Cricetulus griseus: one gene and its partner. The protein of the gene in region 2 purifies or fractionates together with the protein of the main gene of each other region. This does not show direct contact. Links are inferred from orthologs where the notes say so. Each region holds a gene or a part of one and is shown on either strand. Other genes may lie near its edges.

Evidence for each region.
Region 1: the proteins of Ptpra (region 2) and Src purify together in Homo sapiens (co-immunoprecipitation; 4 studies listed by BioGRID and IntAct, with this or other methods). This does not show direct contact. The link is inferred for Cricetulus griseus from reciprocal best matches to the Homo sapiens genes PTPRA and SRC.

Annotation. Positions count from the first base shown.
Region 1 is NC_048599.1:22,117,470-22,121,771, forward strand, and holds the start of Src (proto-oncogene tyrosine-protein kinase Src), read right to left. Parts: upstream 3,002-4,302; 5' UTR 2,768-3,001; intron 2,011-2,767; exon of another isoform or gene 1,881-2,010; intron 1-1,880. UniProt on the Homo sapiens protein: Non-receptor protein tyrosine kinase which is activated following engagement of many different classes of cellular receptors including immune response receptors, integrins and other adhesion receptors, receptor protein tyrosine kinases, G protein-coupled receptors as well as cytokine receptors.
Region 2 is NC_048599.1:48,155,562-48,159,859, forward strand, and holds the start of Ptpra (receptor-type tyrosine-protein phosphatase alpha), read right to left. Parts: upstream 2,948-4,298; 5' UTR 2,825-2,947; intron 1-2,824. UniProt on the Homo sapiens protein: Tyrosine protein phosphatase which is involved in integrin-mediated focal adhesion formation.

The DNA of each region.
Region 1 (4,302 bases), about 26 Mb from region 2:
GCTCTCCCCTTGTTCCTCCACAACAGCCATGCTCTCCCCCACCTCAGGCCTTTGCACAGACCTCTCCCTCTGCCTGGCGTACCTTCCCCTAGCTTCATGCCCAGGTAACCCTCCTACACTCTTCCTGCAAGATTCCTCTGTTCCCTAGGCCTTGCCCTTATCACAGCCATGATTATATATTCATTTATCTGGCCACTTGGCTTATCCGCCTTACTCCAGTTTCTAGAAGCCAAGGACCTGTTCACAATTTCCCAGCAAGTCCCCAGGCAGATGACCTTCTGAGCAGAGGGGAAGAACACTGGTCCAGCTGCACTCTTGGCTAGCTGGCCACTGCTTGCTCCAGCTCAAGCTCCTCCTTCAGGAAGCTGTCGTCCTCCTACCACAAAGCTGCTCAACAAAGTTCACAGGCCCTAGTGCATAGTAAGTGCTCAATGTACGATCAAAGACAGCCGAGGACCAGGTGGATAACAGGGACAAAAACCATTTAGCCAGTCCTCCTTAGATCCTGGGACTTAGAGGACCCAGACATGCTCCATTCCCACCCCTACTGTCAGATGAGAATGGGGTAAAAGCCCAAGCAGGAGGCAGCCTATAAGCTGGAGGCTGGTGGGGGGCTGGGGAAAGGGACACGACAGGAAACAGAAGAGGATTGGGTGGGAGAGATAGGGTTGCCCTAAGGCTGGAAGAACAAGGATGAACATGAGATGGGGCGTGCCCCTAACACTCATTCTCAGTGTGTACCCCAGGATACAAGCAGTCAGCTGAGAGGTGACACACTATAAGTCACTTCCCCTTGTGGAAAGGCCACCTCACCGGGACACACCCCATCTCCAGCAGGGCCTTATGGCTCTGCCAGGTGGGGGTGATATGGGAGGAGTCTTTTTCCAACAATGCCTTGTTCCTGACCCCAAACTATACAGCCTTCACTGTCACTGCAGGTTAAAGGGCAGCCAGCCAGCTCCTCTGAAGTCTAAGTTCCAGTTCCAGCTGCAGACTGAGCTAGCCCCAGGAGGAGTTCAGTGAACCTCAACAGCTCTGATCATCATGGCTCCACCTGATTTATCTGTCCGTCCTGTAGTGCCAAGGCTAGCACCAGGGCCTTGGGCATGCGAAGCCTGTGCTCTACCACTGAGTGCCTTCACAATCTGATTGATCATTCCTTTCTGACAAGACTGAGGCAAAAGGAACCCAGAGCTGACTATATTCACACAGCTGTGGGCCACAGGAGGGTGCTCGGATATTGAGGCTCTAGGGCACCCTTCGAGACACAGTTACCCTCTCCTGCAGGCAGCTGTGCCACAAGCACCCCAGTCATCTTGTGCAGGCTCCAGGGTGGAACTCATTTATTGACACCCCACCCCATGCATGCCAACTCCTTAGCTGCCAGAAGCACAGGGAGTAATCACCTGAGGACCCTGTCACTGCTGTGAAGGATCCAAGGAGCAGCCCCCAGCTCAGATCACCCAGGAAAACAAGAGACTTTGATGCTTGGACTCAAAAGTCTGGAAAGAGCCCCATCCCCGCCCGCCCCGCCCCACCCCCGCACGCGCCCCGCCCCCATGCCCACCTTGGAAACTGAATCTGACTTCCACCCAGGTGAACCCATCACCATTGCTCACACAGTTTGTGAGTCAGGGAAGACCTTGTTTAGGGCCTCATAAGCCTCACACGTCTCTGTCCACTTTTCTCCCTCTGAATACCTTAGAGGTTTAGGGGTTACCCAGGGAAAAGTCCCCTCTGTCCACTCCACTCTTCAACCAGCCTAGCAGTCCTGGCCGTCTACCCATCACTGAGAAGGGCCTTGGCTCAGAGAGCTAAGGCAGTTGTCTCCAAGACACACAGCATGACAAGTGGTGGTTCTAGTGGGGACACAAACTCACCTCCAGTACCTGCCCGGGTGGGCAAGTGGACCTAGTAGTGGTACTGAAACACCAAAACTTTTGCCAACTTCGGAGCCGGCAGGTCGCTGGGCCCGAGGAGGGGCGAGGCTGGGGGCTGGCGGGGGTGAGGGGAGGACAGAGTGGCCCAGTCTCCGCCAGGCCAACAGCACCAGGCCCTAACCGAGGCCCGGAGACCCAAGGAGGTCGCGTGGCCACCAGGGAGCCCAGTCCCCAGCGCCCACCCCACCCCCAACCCCCACTCCGGGCCGGGGGCGCAGGGCCCCGCAGCCGCGATCGCGGGCGGCGCCGATCGGCCGGGTTTTCAGATGTGGCCTAGCCGGGCTGGGGACTCTGCGGCCGAGGGTCCCCACGCGCCGGTGCCCCCCGCGCCCCGCCCGGCCTCCCCCGCGCATCCCAACAAAAGGCCGCGCCGGGCAGGTCGCGGGCCGCGGCGGGGAGTGGGCAGGGCGGGAGCCCGCAGCGGGGCGCGGGGCTGGCGGGGCGGGGGCGCTCACCTGCGGCGCGGCCGCGGGCTCCGGACGCGCCCGGGCGGACCCCAGCGGGGCGCGCAGCGCTGGCGGGCGGCGGCCTGGCCGCTCCGGCGGGGCGGCCGGGTGGATTCCGGGCCGGGAGAGACAGACCTAGAGAAAGGGAGGAGGCGGCGGCGGCGGCGGCAGCGGCGAGGGGGAGGGAGCGCGCGGGAGGAGGGGCCGCGGCCGATGCGAGCCGGAGAAAGAAGGAAGCGCGGACCCGGGCCCCGCCGGCGACCCGGGGGACCTGCTGTGCGAGCCGGGCCCCGCGCCTCCCGCACCCAGCCCCCTCCCCGCAGCTCCACCCGCGGGGGCGCCCTCTCGCCCCGGACCAACCTAGCTACCTGAGCTACGCACCGATGGCTAGCACTATCTTCCAGACACGGAAACTGAGGCAACTGGCCACACCAGCTTTGACCTGATTGTCTTTAACCAGAGACTGGGACCAGAGGGGCAGAGTGAGGAGGAGAGAGGCAGCTTTATTAAAATGTATCAAGAGGCGAAACAGTGGCTCACTATGTGACACAGGCTGGCCTTGAACTTGTGGGAGGCTCCAGCTTCTGCCTATGGAGGGCAGGGACTGCAAGCATCAGGCCAGCCCTAAATTCATTTTCAGCGCATGCAGAGACCACGTACATCTGCTGGGAAGTATGCAGGTAGTCAGCCACTGAGGACAGCAGGATCAGCCAAACAGGAAGTAGAGAAGGAAAATGGGATAAGGGGGCGGGATGTGGTTTCAGGTTGGTCTCAAAGACCACCCCTCACAAACGCCAGTCCCTGTCCAGGTTCTAGGGCTGCCCCTTGGGCCAGGGAGGGGGTCCACCTCTGACTCCTCCGTTCCCCTCTAGAAAGATGAATCCGACCATCTGCCTCCATCCTCCTTCCTTGAAAGTGCTCCCATCTCACAGGTGGCCAACTGAGACCCAACCAGGTTAATGTGGCACCAGGCCTGAGCTTTCTCCTGGTGGAGACCCCTCCTGAAGGGCAGGTTCCCATCCTCCCAGAACATAAGAGGCTCCAGCCTCAGGGTACAATGTATGTCCCAGCAGGCCAGGAAGGAGCAAAGCTTTGAGTCAGGCTGATCTAAGTTCACATCTAGGCCAGGTGCCTCAGGGTTTGTTCAGTCATCAGTTTCCTGTTCCAGCCTCCTCCCGTTGTGAAGTAGGTAGGAGTGGACAGGACTGGGATCTGAAGGCCGCACTGCTGAGTGCAAGTGTGGCCAGGGTAGCCCACTGAGCCAGAAGAGAGAACGGGGCTGCTCAGGATCCTCATGAACAGCAGGCAAAGTAGCCACTCCTGTTTGCAAGACTTGCTTAAAGTTTAACGGCAGTTTCCCAGGACTCCCTTGGGCAGGCCCTGGCTGGAGGAGCAGGTTTCTCCGCCCTCTTCCCCGCCAAAGACTTGTCTAATGGCCTTCACTGGCCACACTGGGCTGGGGGAAGGGTGGCTACTCTTCCTGTAAGGTGCTGGAGCTGGTTCTCAGAGGCTTGCAAACACTTAGGACCGCTGTCCTCCTTCTCAGGGCCATATTCAGTGATGTCAGACTGGTCACCTGGCATCGGCCTCCAAGGAAGTATGTTCTACTTGGAAATGGAGAAATTTGACAAACCATACCTTAGCTTTTTCTTCCAGAGAGTTGCTTGTTAAATATTTGCCAGCGTATCACTACATCCATTGCTGGAAGTTCAACAGAAAGATCTGGACATTGGGCGTTTCCAAACCTAAGACGATGGAAAGCTTCAAAGTACAAACTTTGGACCCATGGGCTTGGGTTGAGGCCTCAACTCTACCTCTTTGCAAATATATAAATGACCAAGAACACGCCATTTTTCTGAGCTCAGTACACCAAAAACCTGCAAAATGGGTAAGGACAACTCATCCTCAGAATTGGC
Region 2 (4,298 bases):
GTTCATTGTATTACTGTAAGAGAAAAACATAGAAATAAATGTTTGACATAAAGACTAGTTACAAATACAAATAATAGTCCTATGTACAGACAAAACAGCTTATTATACAGCTGTATAACAAAGTAAGAAATGTGAATACTGGTTGTTCTTCAAGAAGACCTGAGTTCAATTCTCTGCACCCATATGGCAGTTCACAGTGGTCTATAGTTCTGGTTCCATGGGCTCCAACAACCTTTCTGGCCCGCAAGGGTACTTGGTCCGCAAGCTGTACACAGACATTTATGCAGGTAAAACAACCATACACACACATTTTCTAACTAACTTTTTAAAAAAGAAATGTCAATTCAAAGAGTAAGCAAAAGTTTCTGTTAATATGGGATGGGTTCCTAAACATCTAATTTAGAAAAAGTGAGGTGTGACTGGTATGGCCACAGAGAGAGGAGCAGATGCATGTTTATAAAGGAGTAGGGTTTATGGAAAGCCACAGATGCTCAGCATTTCAGCCATCCTTGGGAAGGAGTTAGCAGATAAGAGGACAGGAAGATTTTCTTCCTCTACATACCCTTTTGAATGCTAGAATTTCCCTCTCCAATGCTTTAATTATCTTTCCCCAAACTGAGTAAGAATCTATCTCAAGAGAAATAATCATGCTCTGGGTATAAAAGAATGTGATTCTACTTCTGGGGGTCCGGGCCACTACCTCCTAAACTGCACAGGTAACAATTGGGGGCATTATTGCCCCCAAATGACTTCCCCAAGTCCCTGACTCTTGGTGCCTCTAACATTGTCAAAACCCTAACACAACAAAATAAGTCTTCACTCTGATCCTAAGCTCACCTCCAGTCCACCTATACGTCTTCCCAGTTCCTCCAAGATGGCTTGTGTTCCCTCCCCTCTCCTATATGTGCAGTCTATAATATACAAATTATAGGATGTCTCCTTTAGGATTTGAAGACCTTCTCCCAGGAAAGCCTTCCCAGACTACCCAGGCAGAGGCTCTGGAAAGAGATTGTCAGAATTCAAATTCTGTTTCCTCATCTGTCTACTCATTTCTAGTCCTGATGAGCCCTTATAATTATTGAAAAGATTAAGCGAGATAATTCATGTAAGGCATTTATTATATAGCCTGTCACAGGCAAATAGAAAACAGCAATTATTATTGCTCTAATAGCACCTATGATGTAACTGTTTATATCCATCTACCTGCCCTGCATTGGTCTATAATCTTCTCAAAGATAAGAATATGACTTTCTCACTTTCATTTTGAATCCCAAGCACTTTGCCTGGCAAATAGGTGACATATGAATGTACTAAATCAAGGGGTTTGCTTTTCTGGTTCTGTGTTCACCCACATACTAAATCAGTGGCTAAAAGGTACCCAGTGAATAGTCTCCTGGATCCAAGCATGCCTCAGAGTAAACTCGGGCCACTTGGGGCAGAGAGGGGTAAAAAGTAACTAAGGAGTTTTTGGCCTTTCAAGGGCAGATTAGAAGCAAGTAGGATATAAAGCCTACCAGTCTCTCCATGATGACTACTTCTGGGTGCTGGGTGCCACAGACATGGAGAGACAGTGAGTATGAAGATCCTAACCCACACTCCAAACAGGCCTTCAGGAAACACTAGGAAACATTCCTCTTGGCAAGTAGTTAAGAATCTACAAGATAACTAGGAAGAATTCTAACAGGGAAAACCTGAAGAAGACACAGCCCCTGTCCTCAAGAAGTTTCTCGAATGAAAAGAACTCTAAAGGAACACCTGGAACATGGCAAGAAAAGGTGGGAGGAAAGGGGAACCCAGAAAGCAAAAACCTCCCCAAGTATGAAGGATCAGGCAAGCAGCTCTGAATGGCTAAACACTGGGTGGAAAGCAAGGAGAATGCAAGGATCGAGGTAACCATAAAAGATCAAGTTCAGGCGAGATTGTCAAGAGCCTTGTAGAAAATGATAATGCGTTTAGGGTTCCATTCATCTCATGGGGGAAGGAAAATGACAGCATCACATCTATGTTTTTGAAAGCAGTATCCAAGCTGTCCTAGTTAATCCTCATCCACCATCTTTTGGCTCTCTGGCTGCTTCAATAGTTAGCAGGTAACAAGTGATGCCATATCCGGGGGCATGAGACTGGTTTTCAAAAGGGATTCCCTCTCCTGGCCAAGGGCTTCGGCCGGCATTACTCTAAGAGGGTTTGGAGCATTCCTTTTTTGTCTTTCCTGTCTTACAAATATCATCACTGACAACGCCAAAACCCCGAATCTATCAGGATCAGCTCTGCCTTTGTAGTTTTTAATTTCAGGAAATACAATTAGGAGTTAGCCCCCTACCCCAAGCGGCAATTTTTAAGATTTACTGAAAGTAAACAGAAGAGATATGCGTTCCCAAGAGGCTCGTTTTGAATTCTGGGCAGCTCTGAGTCCATATTTTCCTTCTGAAGCATACACAACAGTTGGGATCGGGCGGCAGCGAGGGGCTTGGGAGGAGGAGCAGGGAAGGGTTTCAAGAGAGAGTAGAAATGATCACTGCGTGAGCCACCTTTCTCCTCCCACTAAATGGACCTGAGCAAATACCGTTCTCGCTGCTCAAAGTTTTTTTTTTTCTTTCAGAATGAACTATGGCAGCGCCCTGGCCCGGGCCCCAGGAGGACGTCCGCAAAGTTCCAGCCTGTCCGTGTCCCGCACGTTTCCGGGACCCCCTCCCCCTGTCCACCGTGCCAGGATGCACAAGCCGGAGGCGCTGCTCCGGGAAAGGATCCAGGGACGGCTCCCACGCGCGGCCGGGCCATCCCACCTTCCCAAGCCCACCCGACGGCGGCAGGCGCGAATGCTTACCGAGCCCGGCGCTGGGCGGGACCGCGGGGGACGCGCACAGCAGCTCCGCCTCAGCACCGCGGTGGCGGCGACTCGGCCCGCCGCTCCCCTCAGGGCCGCCGCCCGGTCCGCTGCTCGAAGCCCCGCGGCGGCGGCGGCGGCGCCCTCGCCTCCATGGCGAGGAGAAGCGGCAGAGAGAGGTCTGGGCGGGAGGCTGCGATGGCGGCGTGGTCCAGGGGGGTCTGTGCTAGATGCCCCCGCAAGTCCCTGTCAGCGCCTCACTCACCGCTGCCTCACTCCCGACGCGGCCTGGGCTGTAAGGCGCTTCGTCATTGGCCATTGAGAGACGGGCGCTGGTTCGCTGACGCTAGGCGGGCGTCTCCGCCTCCACGGGCCCCACCCCTGCGCGCCGAGCTGCGCCGCGGAGTTTCCCAGGAGCTGAGGGGGGCGGGGGGGGGGGTCTCCGGGTACCAAGACAAGATGCTCCCCACCCTGCGGAGGCGCCTGTCTCCTGACACCACCATCCTCTACCTCGCCATAGTCCTAGGCCCCTGGGCATGGGCTTCCTTCCCAGTTTACAGATGAGGAAACTGACACCAGGCACAAGCCACGCCAGAATGTACCAACTGGGGAGCTTAGGCATCTCTCCACCCCTTTCCAAATGTGATCCTTTCTGCGAGGTACTTAAAGGATGAAGAATGTAATTGTGAGGAGAGAGGTATTTGCCTAGTCTCTAGAACGGATCTTGCTCTGTGGATGTCATCTTTAATAAACCAGCCCACATCATCCCCACCCGAACCCCAGGGAAATCTCTCTTGCTTTCCAGATGTGGATGCTGGGCCCGAGGCTCTAGAGCTGGGTGGAAGCGCGGCACGTGGTGCTCTGTCGCGGGCGGGGAGATGCCTTTTGATACAGGCCTGGTGGTGGTGGAAGGGAAGATTGAGAGCACTGTGAGACCAGAGGTGCGGACTGTGTTCTCATACGTCTGGGCATCAATCCCTCGCCTAGAGCTCCAAAGCCATCTGGCGGCGCTTTGGGAGGTAGCGCTTCCAGTTGCGCACCTTGCTTGTTTTAAGACCTGTGGCGCCAAGTTAGTACTCTATGCACACGCTTCTGTATTTGTGGAATAAATGTGTAGTGACCAGAGCCAGGGCCTGGGAATTAAGTTGAAATAGGCCTTCTTTAAACTTTTTTCCCCCTGGGTATTAAAACTCCTCGAGTAAGGTTTGATTCTGACTCAGCCTCTCCCTCGGCAGGTTCATCCCAGAGACAGCCTACCCAAGACCTCTATTCAGTCTCCTAAATGTCAGATTCCAGCCAATGAGGACTGCTCCTCTTACATGTGCAAGGAGCAGATTTCCTGGGAAGTACAAGGTCTATCAGAGATGCAAATACACAGCAAATCGAAACGTGACTAAATGAAAGTTCTGGTTTTGCACTGGAACTCAATGCATGAAAAAACAAAACCAACACACACACACACACACACACACAC